2 linked regions of the Drosophila melanogaster genome follow. The protein of the gene in region 1 interacts with the protein of each later gene in a pairwise test. Each region holds a gene or a part of one and is shown in the gene's direction. Other genes may lie near its edges.

What was found.
Region 2: the proteins of GATAe (region 1) and Paris interact in a two-hybrid assay, tested with the Drosophila melanogaster proteins (one large-scale study listed by BioGRID).

The regions. Positions count from the first base shown.
Region 1 is NT_033777.3:16,009,664-16,019,472, forward strand, and holds GATAe (GATAe), read left to right. Parts: upstream 1-2,610; 5' UTR 2,611-3,075; coding exon 3,076-3,120; intron 3,121-6,564; coding exon 6,565-6,902; intron 6,903-7,045; coding exon 7,046-7,979; intron 7,980-8,047; coding exon 8,048-8,543; intron 8,544-8,601; coding exon 8,602-8,932; intron 8,933-8,993; coding exon 8,994-9,090; 3' UTR 9,091-9,470; downstream 9,471-9,809.
Region 2 is NT_033779.5:4,461,076-4,465,575, forward strand, and holds Paris (parkin interacting substrate), read left to right. Parts: upstream 1-2,535; 5' UTR 2,536-2,711; intron 2,712-2,765; 5' UTR 2,766-2,770; coding exon 2,771-3,811; 3' UTR 3,812-4,000; downstream 4,001-4,500. Other genes in the region: CG15435 (uncharacterized protein), read left to right, coding at 1-484; CG15443 (uncharacterized protein), read right to left, coding at 749-1,488, 1,549-1,885; FIG4 phosphoinositide 5-phosphatase, read left to right, coding at 4,163-4,243, 4,305-4,500.

The DNA.
Region 1 (9,809 bases):
CTGACTCACTCGAAAGATACATCACTGTCCGAGTGTCCAATCCATAAATAAACGAATGAACATTCGTTAGCCAAGTGACAACTCTTCGGAGCGTAAACAAAGAAAGCTTAACTTTTTCCTTGCCAGCTCCTTCTGCGGAATTGGACCTCCTGCTCTTCCAGCTGGTAGGCAGTGCCTCTTCCTCCACCTGGGACCATGAAATCCCGCAGTGCGGAGTGCGCAGTTCCATTTTCATAACTCATGTCCGAAATGTTGTTAGCGTGCTTTGGCCGGATGATTTATGACCTCGGCGCGGGTTAATAGAATTTACTTGAACCCAATTTGCCAGCGGTTGCAAAGCGCAGAGTGCAGCCGCCCAAAAGGGAGAGCCATTACGGCACTTCCATTTGCATCTCCATCTTTCCATTCCATTTTTATTCGATTGAGCCACGCCATTGCGGCTGGCAGGGATTGGGCAACCAGCCATGCGGGGTGGGACTTTGGATCGAATCGGATCGCACCCCTGCTGCCGACTATAATTAAAACTATGGCGCACGCCTTTGTTGCCACTGGCACGTTTAATTTCCAAAGAGTTCTTCCCCTTATCAGAACAACCCGTTTGTGCCGCCAAACAAAATTGGAAAAAGACCAAAAAGGAAAGCTAGAAAAATAATACAATTATAACCAAAACAAGAGCGCAATAAAGAATATATAAAAATTAAATTCCATAGCGTCATTCCAGACAAAGATCGGCGATACTGTCAACTGGCCGAGAACACTTGAGGCTAGATAACTTTTAGGCTATGGTTTCTTAAGGTTTTGGTTCGCTTCTATGGTCTTTCACGGACATAGCACTTGAAACTCCATGGAGGTGGACAAGTTGAAGGGTGTACGATTCCGGGTGTACACGATATGCCATGGTCAGCAATCTTAAGACTCTGTCTGTTTCGCCGCCCCTAAGTCTTCCGTCTTAGGGTCGTAAATTCGCCGGCAAAGCACCTAAAGCTAGGCGCGGCGGTGCCATCAATTAGGGTATTAATTGCCCGGCTCTGCCGTGGCAAGAGAGCCACCTCGATGAGTCAGTCCTGTGGCCGGGTATCCAGTTTGGAGTCCTCCTCCTCAGCATTAATCTCCTGTAATGTTGATTTCGTGTAGCGCCATTTGTAACGATCGAAACTGGCATAGCCGTCAACTTTTTGAGTGATTAATCACCGCACAGATATTTCGCGACACGCAGCAGTAGCTACTATTAGATACTTTTTGTCTGCCGGTTTTGCTCTTAAGATTTGCCCATGATTTATGCACCGCATGCGTTGCAACAATTAAAATTATCGCCTCAACTCGATTTCCATTCATGGGAGCAGCGGAAAGTTGCCCGTAATTGTGGCATTATAAGCAACTCCGAGGGGATTGTGCATGTTAATGGCCGTCATATATCTGCTTGCTTTATGACTTTAACTATAAACAATTTATGATTCGCTGGGCCAACTTGGCTGGGTGGCCAAGATATGTGGCTAACTTACAGATTGCAGCTCTTCGAAGAAAAGAAAGCAAGGAGTTGGTACGGATTGCCATAGGGGCTTAGCATTAAGCATATAAGCCTAGATTGAATTTTTTAGAATTTAAGTCATGGTTTTCATATACATTTTATTATAAAATGTACTATTTAGCTACTACATCCCTATATATAGTAAAGATATGTTTACAATATTTATCTACACATACATCTCTGCTTACAAAGTATCTGTAATTGACAGGTTGAAAAATATATCAGATTTCTGACCAAGCACTCCAATCACCCAACCACTTCAAACTCAATCTTTTCCTGGCTGGTGACAATTCAGGGGTTTTGCAATATATGCGCCGCACCTGATCCTCGACCACGTGTGCTCCTGCCCTCCACCTCCGCCTCCTCCGGCGGTGTTTATTAGTTACAACACTCGAGAGTGGATTGTGAAGTGTGGAGAACTAGAAGAACTGGAGAAGTGGAAGTGGAGCGCAACAACCGAGCAGTCGAGCTGTCAAAGCGGCCCACATTCGGGCGACTGTTCGTGGGGTCATATAAAGTTTCCGTGCCCATGCCCATGCCCAGTCCCACTTTCCAGGCCCAAGCCCGATCCGATGATATTCTGTTGACGTTGACTAACGTTGCTCGAGTTTATTAGTTTGCCAGAAAAGTGTTTTATGAGTGCAATTAGAAAATGCGCTAGACTAAATTGCACAATTGACAAATAGCAGGGGGCGAGGGTGAGGAGCGCTGAAGGGTGGAAATGGAATCAAATGTGGTGCTGGCTGAACTGTGCCGGCTGGTGGGCCTCTTGACGCCACTCTTCGGAAACCTCGGAACATTGGTGTAACATAGGTGTGTTGGAAAATCGGCCGAGCGCGCAGGCGCAATTTGTATCTCACGGATACTTATCGCAACCGTGGCACCAACACTCGTTGCGTATCTTATCGCATGTGTGTCGATAAGATAACCAATACCAGGCGAGGCGGTACAGAATAAATCATAACGCTGCCACACCGACAGGACCACGCACCCACACAGGTGTGAGGCCGCCCAACCGCAGAGGCGCTGGATCTTCATCGGTGTGGGTAGCTAATTGGGCGGCAAACGCGCCGCAGGCACCGCATTGCGTCGCCGTCGTTGTTGTCATCGCAAGTGAGGTGCTTGGTGCTCAGAGTGCTCAGTGTTTAGTGTATCGAGCCCATAGACCGGAGACCAGTGCCACCACCAGAGCCCAGTTGGTCTCGAAAAAATAGCACTTCGTATCACTGCTAACTGGCAAAGGTTGCGCGCGGGCCACAACCACAATCGCCCCACGGGTGACAGCATTAGATCGCCCCCAAAGCTCCAAAGTTCCTACTTTCCCAAGTTACCAATTTTCGTCAATTTTCGCCAATTTTCCCCACTTGCTCACTTTGCGCGGCACTTTTTCGGGCGCCCAGATTGATAGGAGAAGTGAACCAAACACCTGGACAAGCCGTGCTTGTGATAAATTTTTGAAAACACAACAGAACTGAAATCAAGTGATAAAAACCAATCTTAGATAAAACGCTGGAAGAAACGCAAAGAAGCGGCGTAACTTCAATTTGATGGTCTGCAAAACTATCTCACCGAGTGTAAACATGCAGCTGAAGGTGGGTAAAATAAACTTATAATTATTCAAAAATAGTCAGCGTAATTTTTGGGTATTATATATTAAGTTTGCCAAGTCGGTATTTTCTTTTCAAAACCAATTCCGTTTAAAATCCATATCGGAATGGAGAATATCAACCTGACCGCTTAAAGCAACTATACGTGAACTCTATTAAAAACATTTAAATACCTTTTTGATGCTCATTTACGAGATCTCTATAAGCCTATCTATCATTTCTACTTTGTTGAAAGATCATAAAAGTTTTTAACGTTTTCTCACACAAGTTCATTAAGCTAAATAGACAGGCCATATAGGGTCATTAAAAGCAGATAGTTCAAGTTTATAGATCAGTCGCAAGGCACGAATAAATATTAATTTATTAATTAACGGAGTATAAAGAGCTTTCAAAGGTATTTACAGCTCGAATAGCCATATAGATTTTACATCCTTCGGTGTACCGAGCCAGAAAATGATTTTAGCCCGCAAACGGCAGCGATATGGATTTTTTTCAGTTCTAGCGCCAGGGAAATAAGATAAGACAAATTGATTTATAATGAATGAGTCATCTGGGATGCAGCGGCAAACTGCGACACTTATTTTGGTGTCTGCTCTTGGAAGAAAAACCGAACCGAAACGAACCGAAACCATTAAGAAAACGAGAATGGGTACGAAAACGGGGCAACAAGAAAGCAAGTTAAATGTGGAAAGATGGCTAATCTTTATGAGGTCCAAATTCAGCTGCGATCGAAGGTGGCGTCAAAATACCTTTGACAAAAATAAAATTTGAAACACGCAGCCGACTTTCAACTGCTCGCTCCTCTTCATTCATGAAAAGGGACTGTTTTTACCCATTTTTTGCTGGCCACGGATAATGTGAAATTTATGTCAATCTTATCACCTCGCTTTGGTCCTGCTCCTTATCCCTGTCTCTAGCGTATCCTTCATGGGCTTGGGGTTGGTTTTGTGAATGAATGCCAACCCTTGGCTCATCTGGGGGTACTTTTTATCCTGCCGGAAGTGTCCTTTCGACCAATGGAAGAACAGTCCCTTAACAGTTGCTCAATGGCGGCATCGATAGTTGCAGTTCCAGTTGCAGATACTTTTATTAGACACGCGTCGCCAGTTGACAGTGGATGATGGCTGATAGGAGAGAGGGCGAAGGTTGCGATTGATGGCCCTTTAATAGAGCTGTAAATGCAGCTGGCAGTCGAGAGTCTTATCTCACTTTCATTAGCCAACTGCAGTGAAGTTTAATTAATCGAAGGATCTTCTAACGAGGGCAGATATAAAGGGTATAAATGTATATCCAAAAATGGGTACATTTATTTACTTCCCATTCTTTTGTTAATTATATAGATATTTTGAAAGTGCTCTCACATCTTTAGCCTTTAAGCAGTCTTACCCAAGAAATTGTTCATATTTTTTTATAAGTCTAAAATAAAAAGTAAAACTGGCAAAGAATTTCCTCGAGAAATTTAGAATTTTAACAAAAATAGCATTCATCACAACTGCATTATATTCAAGTTTTATAGTTCTATTCAGTTCTAAATGCCTTAAAATGTTTGGTCAGAGCTGCCTTTGAAATTTGCTCAACCACGAACCCAAGCTCAACGAAAGCGAAACGAGGTGCGATTATATAGTCAATATCTTTTGTTTATATAGATAAAGTACGAAATGTACGTGTGTGTGTGTGTGTGTATGGTTGTGGGTGTGACTGGGCAGATTTCATTCATAAGTTCAGCGGACTCCACACCCTCGCAACGATTCTTGACTAAGCCGAGCAAATAGCGCATGCCATTGCCATTCTCGGGTGACAAACATCGCTTGCACAACTTTTGTAATTCTTGGATATATCTGTCCCTATTGATGACGTAGCCGCAACTGAGAGTGGGTGCGGGCAGTTGGGGGATACCAACCATGACCTCTCAGTCCCAGCAGCAGCAGCAGCAGCTGATTATGTACATTGATAGCGCCCGGATAAGATATTGTCCGTATCGTTCGGCCGTAGTATCTTAACTTTTTCGCGGTACATGGCACGTGCATGGGGGCCTACCTATCGTACTACTACTATATACACACACTCAAAGTCGGGTTTATCTGCATTTCGGGCAGACGATTGTCTGAAGTGACGTTTGCACCACATTATCTCGCACCCTTTCCATCCAGGGAATTCTTTGAACTTTGGCCAAGACGTTGAAAACTTGGCACGGTCATCACCGCCGGCGGAATGCAATCAGTTTCCATGGAACTCTTTCGTCCCCCATTTATATGCCTTCCACATAAGTAATTAAACTTTGTACCTTGGTAAGCGTTAGATTTTTCATTTTTACGGCTTGTCACCAACTGAATCATCATTGAACTTGGCTTGTGTCCACGCAAAAAATGTATCAATCATTTGTGGCACGTCAACCTAAAGTTCTGCGAAAGTGAATCAATTTTCATTAAATGGAAGATAAAGTATTAGTTTTTTCATATAAAGGGAGAGTGGGGATTTTTATGGAATGTATTAAATCAATTCAGCGTGGTGATTATTTTCGGAAAAAAAAAACACCTGTACAAGTATATGGTTATATCTCAGTTAAAAGCAATTATCTTTGCAATATATTTCAATGGCCACAAAAATTTTCCTTTAGTGTTGCTGTGGATTTCCTCAATTGACGGTGGTGATGGTTACACATAAGCACACACATTTTTTGGTATATTTATAGCCATGGTAAAGGTGGAAACCACCTGAAAGCCTCTGAGCTATATGGCACTTGTCATGAGCGGACTGGCGGTAAATTTCAACCTGGCCGCATCGTGAATCAGGTGACAGTGACGATCGAATGTGTTGACACAAGCTCGAGGATGGGAATGGGGATGGGGATGGGTATGGGGCTTTGGAGTGGAAGTGGAAGTGCCACCCCCAACGGAATGAGGTCATAAACCCAAAAGCGACTGACGTATGGCGGGGAAAGCAAAGCGATTTTATGGCCAAGTTTAATTTCCGCCAAAAGCCAAACTAAACCAAAAAAAAAAAAAAAAAAAACCACGAATACACAAGAAAAATGAAAACGAAACCAAGGCACCGCTCTGAGTTTAGGGTTCTGTGAGCAAATACTTCTGCTGGTGGAAATGAAATGGAATAAAAGTGAAAAATGTGTTCGACAATGTTGACACTGAGCAACTGAGTGGTAGAAAGGAGAGGGGTCGCCTCCAAGCCCGTCTCCGTTCGGCTCAGTTTCTGGTACTTTACGGTTGTAGGCGACAAATTGAGCTGTGAGTCGAGCGCGGGCGGTGTCTTTGAAGTCCGTCTCAGCGGTCTTGGTTGGGCTTGCGTCTTGTTGACTTTTGTGGCGGAAACCGAGGCGGGCAGTTCGCACTGCAACGGCCGGAACTGGAGCCACACTTTTGAGACGAGCCGGGCGAAACATGGCATTCAACACTTGTCGCTTGCTCATTGCAGATGGAACAGCAGACAACGCAGCAGCAGCAGCAGCAACAGCAACAGCAACAGCAACAGCAACAATTGCAACAGCAACAGCATCAGGCTCTAACCAAGCAGCAGCTTCAACTGCTGGACAAAATCAAACTCGAGTCCAGCAACGGCGCCGATCAGTTGGCCCAGCAGACGGCCAACAATCTGGATGAGCAGCAGGAGCAGCAGCAACAACACCAACAGCAAGCCGCAACATCGGTGGGCGTGGTGGTGCAGACGGGCCAAGCGGGCGTCAGCGAACCGGAGGAGCAGTACGTGGTGGTGCCACGCAACCAGCGCCGTATTCTCACCACAGCCGGCACACTGTAAGTAACCTCTGGAGACCTTCTTTTCCTAAGAACATAAGCATTCACAAATTTCATTTTTAAACACAATCATCTAATGCAAATGGCAATCGATAGTTACAATTTACCATTGTTATTTAACAGTGTTATTAACAACATTTCAGTGAATTAAACGAAGCTCGTGAAGGAGAACCGAGCACAAACGCCAGCAACGCGAGCTCAGGATCTGCTTCGGATAGCCACATCGAGTACCAGCGCAGTGCACACCAATCTCCCGGAGCCACTCACTACGTGCAGATGGCGCCACGCAACGCAGAGGTGACGGAACAGGTGGGAGCTGCTGCCGGAGCTCCGCCGGGCACCATCTTCGCCTATCCTATTATCTGCAACGGTGACGATGTGGCCGCGATCAAAATCGAAACACTCGAGAAGGGAGAGGCGACGGGGGAGTCGCAACAACAGCAGCAGCAACTGCAGCAACACCAGCATCAGCAGCAACAGCAATGTCCCACACCCAACGGAGCTAGCTACGGCGAGACCATAGTGATCAGCAGCGAGGCGGAGGCACTGCAGCATCACCACCAACAGCAGCAGCAGCACCAGCAGCAGCAGCATCAGCAGCAACACCACCAACACCAGGCGGCAGCTGCAGCATCGGCGGCGGCCCAGACGGTTCACATTGCCACCAGTTCGCATGGTGGAACCGTGCGCTTCGTTACGGAGGATGTACGCTTCACCACCGCCGGACCGGAGACATCCGCCTCGAATATGTACTACGATGTACCCGTGGTGGATGGCAGTGTGCATGCCAACGAGTCCAAGACCTACGCCGACCTAGGCAACGCATATGCCCCCTTCCCGCCCAGCTCCAGCTTCAGTAGCAATAGCTATGCGGCAACGCTTCAGCAGGGAAACACTATTTACAGTGTTCCGGGCACCGGTCAATTCTTGGCCAAGTCCGAGTCTGGCCTAAATCAGACTGGACTGCTGCGCCAGACTGGACCGGCTACTTTTCAGACGATATCTTTTGAGGGCGGCAACGGCATCGAGCCTTTATGGGCATCTCCCGCCCCGCCGGAGTACCAGAGTGTTCAATTTGTAAGTATAATTTAAGTTACTGGTTCTTGAGGCGGTACATACTAACTGTTCTCCCGCATGCTGCACAGAGCAACTTCCATCCGCAGGTTATTGATGAATACGGGAGCGGCAATATGAGCACCTCCCACTGGCCGCCCGCCAGCAGCATAGGGCAGTACGATGGAAGTCTGGTGACCGCCTCGTCCACATCGTCGCCCAACCACGAGCTAAAGTGCGAGAACTGCCATGGGCCGTTCTTGCGGAAGGGTAGCGAGTACTTCTGTCCCAATTGCCCGGCCTTTATGCGGATGGCGCCCCGTATAACCCAGAGGCAGGCGAAGCCCAAGGCCGCCGCCGCCCCCAACAACCGGCGCAACGGGGTCACCTGCGCCAACTGTCAGACCAACTCGACGACCCTGTGGCGTCGCAACAACGAGGGCAATCCGGTGTGCAATGCCTGCGGACTGTACTACAAGCTGCACAACATGAACCGACCGCTGTCGATGAAGAAGGAGGGCATCCAGAAGCGCAAACGGAAGCCTAAGAACAACGGAGGAGCACCCATGCACCGAGCACCGCTGCCGAGTGAGTACACCTGCCAGGGATTACAGTATGCAATAAACTAATCCCAATTCCCAACCAGGCATGTCGCAGGGAGTCAACCTGATGGCCAACAGTCCGCTGTATCCTTCCCAAGTGCCAGTTAGCATGCTGAATAGCCAGCTTAATAGCCAGCAGAATTCCAGTCCGGAGCTGCACGACATGTCGACGACGGGTCAAGCGGGTGGGCAACGGGTGGTGTCCATTTCGCTGAATGCGACGGCGCCGCCCACCCCCGACGGAACGCTCAACATGTCCGCCCGTCATCACGTGACCGGCGAGAGCCATTCTCCTTACAGTCAGCAATCAACGCCACAGAGTCAATCGCCCCATCTGCCCGGCACGGTGCCGATAAACCGTCAGATAGTTCAGCCGTAAGTTAAAGATACTTTTCGCTACCCTGTCGGACTCCTCAATAATAATCATACCTTATAGAGTACCCACCATCGAAAGCAGTCGCAGCTCCAACACTGAACTGACCCCCAGCGTAATCACGCGCACTGGTCTGCCAGAGCGATCATCGAATAACTAAGCTAGCTTTGACTTATGGCTTAAGCTACGCACTAAAGTAACCTATAGTTAACCAAACCCAAATTTCAAAAATTGCCAAAATATTTATTTAAGCCCTAGCCGTTAGTCATACTATATAGCCAAGACCAATGTCCCAGTTAGAGGAAGATTTTGCCGGGTTTTCCGGGTCTTGAGTAACCATTTAACTGTGCAAATGTCTTCCTCCTTTTAGTCAACTGCTTACAGCAAATAGTTTTGAAATGATTTGTGCCAACCACTTAGGATCGCTATACTCTATATAGAGGTAGTTTAGCCCAAGACAGCACAAGCCCATAATGAAGCCTACGATTTTGTATGTTTAAGCCTCTTTTTAATTCTACAAAATAAATAAGTTGTAAACGCAAGGCACTCGGACTTTGATGGCTTTACCAGGATGCGAGGTACCTTGGTGGAGATCGTTATATTTCATTGTCAACAATTTGGCAGCCAACCAAATTGATCCAAATTAATTTTAATGACCCCCACGGACCACAGCGCGAGACCATAAAATCTTAACAAGTTGGCAGGCAAGAGACCCGCGATGGGGCAACCCAGAGACGAGGAACCCAGATCTCGCGCGGATCACCGAAGCATTGGAGCAGTGTCTAAATAGCGATTTGGTGTCATCGCTTAAAAGCCTGTCCGAAGCACAGTAACGCCACCGCCCGCAGCCGCTGCCTTTGATCTGCTGTCGGCGGTACG
Region 2 (4,500 bases), on another chromosome or scaffold:
GGTGAAGGTGTCCAACGGTGAGAAGATAGCTGAGCCGCCAATTCCCATAGATATACCCGATCCCCGGCCGGTGCAGGAACCATCTCTATTCGACTGTGCCAGCGGAACGACGACTCCGATCACGGAGGAGAACAACGTGCTGTACGCCATTGAGCGCTCTGAAAGTTGCCATTCCCAGGGCACGCCGACGGTGAAAAAACCCATTCCCATTCGCGGAAAGGCGGCGCTGGGAATCGGGCTGGACAAGCACAGGGAGAGAGCCACGTTCCTCGAGAAGCTGCAACGGGCCGCTGTCTCTCCTGGCACAGTTTCGCAGGGTCCAGCGCCCGTTTTCTCAGCCCGCTGCGGGCAGTGCAATTTAGAATTTGACTCAGTCTCCGAACTGGAGGTGCACAACCACAATGCCCACAGGGGCAATGAACTGAACGCCGACGACGAAGCCAAAAGGCGTCAAATAATCGCCCTCTTCGAGGATGATATTTAGGTTTTACAAAGTCCTGTTTTTCATGCCGGTGGCTCAATCAAACTAGTAATCATGTTGACCACTTTGCATCTGTGTTTTTGTCGTATTGTATTTATTTATTATTTATTTATTTTATTCTGTTTCCATTAGTGATTTAGTTTTGCTTAGCGGCAATCCATGTTCATTTACAATACATTCTCGAGTACTCAAAAGTCCGTGGCTTTATATTTATATGTACTCTAAGACCAATAAAGAGATTTGCAAGACTTATTCTTAACCATAAGCCTATGCGTATATTTGCAAGCTATTCAGTACCAGGTTGGAATCTGCTACCTTCAAGTGCAGACAGTTCTTGAGCAAGCGCATCGCGTCCAGGTTGAGATCTGGATCTCGCAGAGCGAAGAGCTGGTTTAGGGTTTGCACAAGATTCTGCGGGTCTGCCAGTGCGAATATTAGACTTGTGTCACCTAGGGCTACCAGATTGGTCATTACACGCACGGCGTAGATTAGGCACAGCCGGTCGGCTGGCGATGCTAAGGTGGCTTCAAAGAAACGCACCAGGCATTCGGCCTGTTGAGCATCTAACTTGTGCTCCTGTGTCACTATTTCCAGTTGGTGCACTATGTACATGAAGTACTCGCTGGCAGGCTGGCCGTGGAGCTTCTCAGGCAGATTCTGGCCAATGTACCTTCGATCCTCGTCACTCACATGCTGCGGGCAGCGGGTGGCCACCAGGGAGAGGCAGATGGCCGCATCTTCTTGGCAGCCATTGGGCTCGATGTAGAGCCTCCACAGCTTGGGTACTATTTGCATTTGCAGCAATACGCTGCCGGCCTTGTCGCATGTGCCCAGAACGTTGGCCAGTGTCCACAGGCAACTGCGCTTGAGGCGTTCGGCCTTGCCATCAAGGTAGGTGACCATGTAGCTGCCCGCCAAAGTGACAATCTTTTCGGAGACATGGGCCTCGCCCAAGGAAAGATTACACAAGCACTCCACGGCATCTGTCTGTCGTTGAATGTGAGGTCCTGAAAGTCAAGTCAACCTTTTTATATAAAACTAAAGCTAATGAGGGTGCAGTTGGTTACCAGTTAGCTCCTTAACCAGAACCTGAATGGCGCCAGGAATAGCTGCGAATGCATTGATGTTGTCATTGCTCTGGAGGAACCCCAGCGACAAGCGGCACAGATCCTCGGAGGTGGCGTGCTTGCGACGCTTGATCCTGCTGGCCATTCCAATGACGTCCTTGGTGCCCATCTCAAGAGCCGCCACTTCCTGCTTAACCTGTCCAAGTCCAATGCGCAATGAGTCTTTCGCCTTTATGCGGCACTCAACACGGTGATCCTTGGCATATGCACGAATCTTGTTTCGCAGAAAACTTCCCTCCCCAGTTGTCGTCACAAAGTCCATTTGTTTAAATTTCATGGAATCCTTAGCAAGTGAGCAATATTCCGATAATAATAACAGATTATCGATAACTATGAAAGGTTAACAGCACTTCACTCATCAGCTGTTAAAATTGTAAACAAAAAAGGTACGCACTTGTTTGTTTATATTTTATTTGGAGTAAGTAATGCTTATTTAATTTCAGGTCAATGGTGGTAATCTGAGCCCGGAATCGATGGATAAACATATTCAGTGGCACCCAGGAACCCGATTTTTCATATGTGAATTTATTTTTATACTGGCAAAGAAGTTCGGCGAGGAGATTCATTTCCTTTTTGTGCCTTTTTAATTTAATTTTTCTATGATTTCCACGGAAAAAGTCCAGTGCTCCTTCTGTCCAAAATTATTCACCACTAGCTAGGCGAAAATGTGAAAAAACTATACGAAGATAAATGTTTGTTTTTCCAAAGAAATTTATTTCAATTTTATATTCTTCAACAGGTAAAGGATATCGATATCCGATAAGAATTTTCCCATCAAAACTTGGGCTGACCACCACAGGGCGACCCTTGCAAGTTTGCGTTTATCTCAGCTGTTAAATATGGTAAACACACCTTAGTTTCAAAAATCATCATTTTGATAAATAATTTGAATTTCGAACATCGATAATAAATCGATTTAGCATATGGCCCAGAGAATAGGGTGCCCAGTGTACTGTGCACAATGTGAAGTTTAGCTTATTATTATTTTGAATTGTTCATCAAGGCAATCGCATTAATTTTCAATTAATTGGGATGTATGAAACGGATTCCTAAATTATAAAAGATTGCTTTTCCAGCTATAAGCTATTTAGTATATACATCAGGTAAGTAATATAGTCCTTCATAAAGTTCAGCCTAATAAGTATTGTTTATTACAGGGATAATGGCGGAAATATGCCGAGTTTGTATGGATATTTCTGGTAAACTCGTTAACATATTTGACGCCAGACGAAGAACCAGAGTTTCCATTGCCGAGATGATCGCGCAGTGCACCGGATTCGAGGTCAAACGTGGCGATTTGTTTTCGGAAATGATATGCCCACAGTGCTATGAGGACGTAAAGAGCGCGTATGGGATAAGGCAAACTTGTGAGGAAAGCCACCAGTTCTACTGCCGAGTTCGCGATGAAGGCATCGAGGATGCTTTATGCGCCTTGCTCGAAGAAGAAGACTGGGAGATTTCGGAAGACGAAGATGCGCGGATTGATTCTGCATCCGCTGCTGATGACGATGGGAAAAGCGACAGCAAGAAGGTAGCATTCGAATGTCGAGAATGCCACAAGAAATACCAGCGAAAGGGAACTTTTCTGAGGCACATGCGAACACACATGGACGGACAATCCTTCCCATGCCCCTACTGCAAGCGGAACTTTAGACTTAGAGTCACTCTCAAGGCGCACATGAAGACCCACAATGCAGCGAAACCCTACGAGTGTTCCCACTGCGCCAAGACCTTTGCGCAGCAGTCCACTCTGCAGTCGCATGAGCGAACTCACACTGGCGAACGACCATTCAAGTGTTCACAGTGCTCAAAAACCTTTATTAAATCATCCGATCTCCGGCGTCACATCCGCACACATGGCAGCGAGAGACCGTTCAAGTGCTCCAAGTGCACGAAAACATTTACGAGGAAGTTTCACCTTGATAACCATTTCCGTTCTCACACTGGTGAACGACCATTCAAGTGTTCCCACTGCCCCAAGGCCTTCGCTATGAAGCAGCACCTCAAGCAGCACAGCCGCCTGCACTTACCAGATCGTCCATTTCGCTGCTCCCACTGTCCCAAGACTTTTCGGCTGAGCAGCACTCTCAAGGAGCACAAGCTCGTACACAACGCTGAAAGAACATTTAAGTGTCCTCACTGTGCCAGTTTCTATAAGCAGAGAAAAACACTTGCTAGACATATCCTCGAGATACACAAGTGACCACTACTTTAAAAACACTTGGAAGACATATCTTCCATGTGCACTACTTTAAAATGGACAAAAATGATTTTGCTAGATGATAAAATAAGCTAACATATTCATAGGTATTGTAAGAATAAGGCATAAAATTGGTTGGTAATGAATATGCCTATTTTGATATGTTTTATGATGGAATAAAATGTTATTTATATTTGATTGAACCAAAACAAAATTAATTAATCGACTCCCTCTCACGCTGCCAACACTGGCCATTTCTCGCATATCCAACTACAGATGATGATCAGCTGTTTGTTGTTTATGTGGGAGCGGCCTGAGAAATTGTAACAAAAAAATTTCGGAAAAGCTGAAAAAATGAACAATGATAATCCGAATATAGTTTTCAATCCCCTGATAAGCTCCATCCAAAAAGTAGTGCTCTATGAGACACGAGCGGTAAGAAATCACCTCCAGCTGACCTTTTTTTGACTAATCACATATATCGCCATAATTTCAGCGCCTCTATTTGGTGGGCAGCAACAATCGGGAGACTCGGTTTCGCCTCCTGACCATAGACCGACTTGCCCACAACCGGCTGAGTATCGAGGAGAATGCCAACGAGTTTAACAGCCTGGAGATCCGACGTTTTGTCGCTTCCCTTTCGGGTTCGCCCAAGGTGACGTCCGCTTATGGCGTCCTTGGATTTGTGCGCT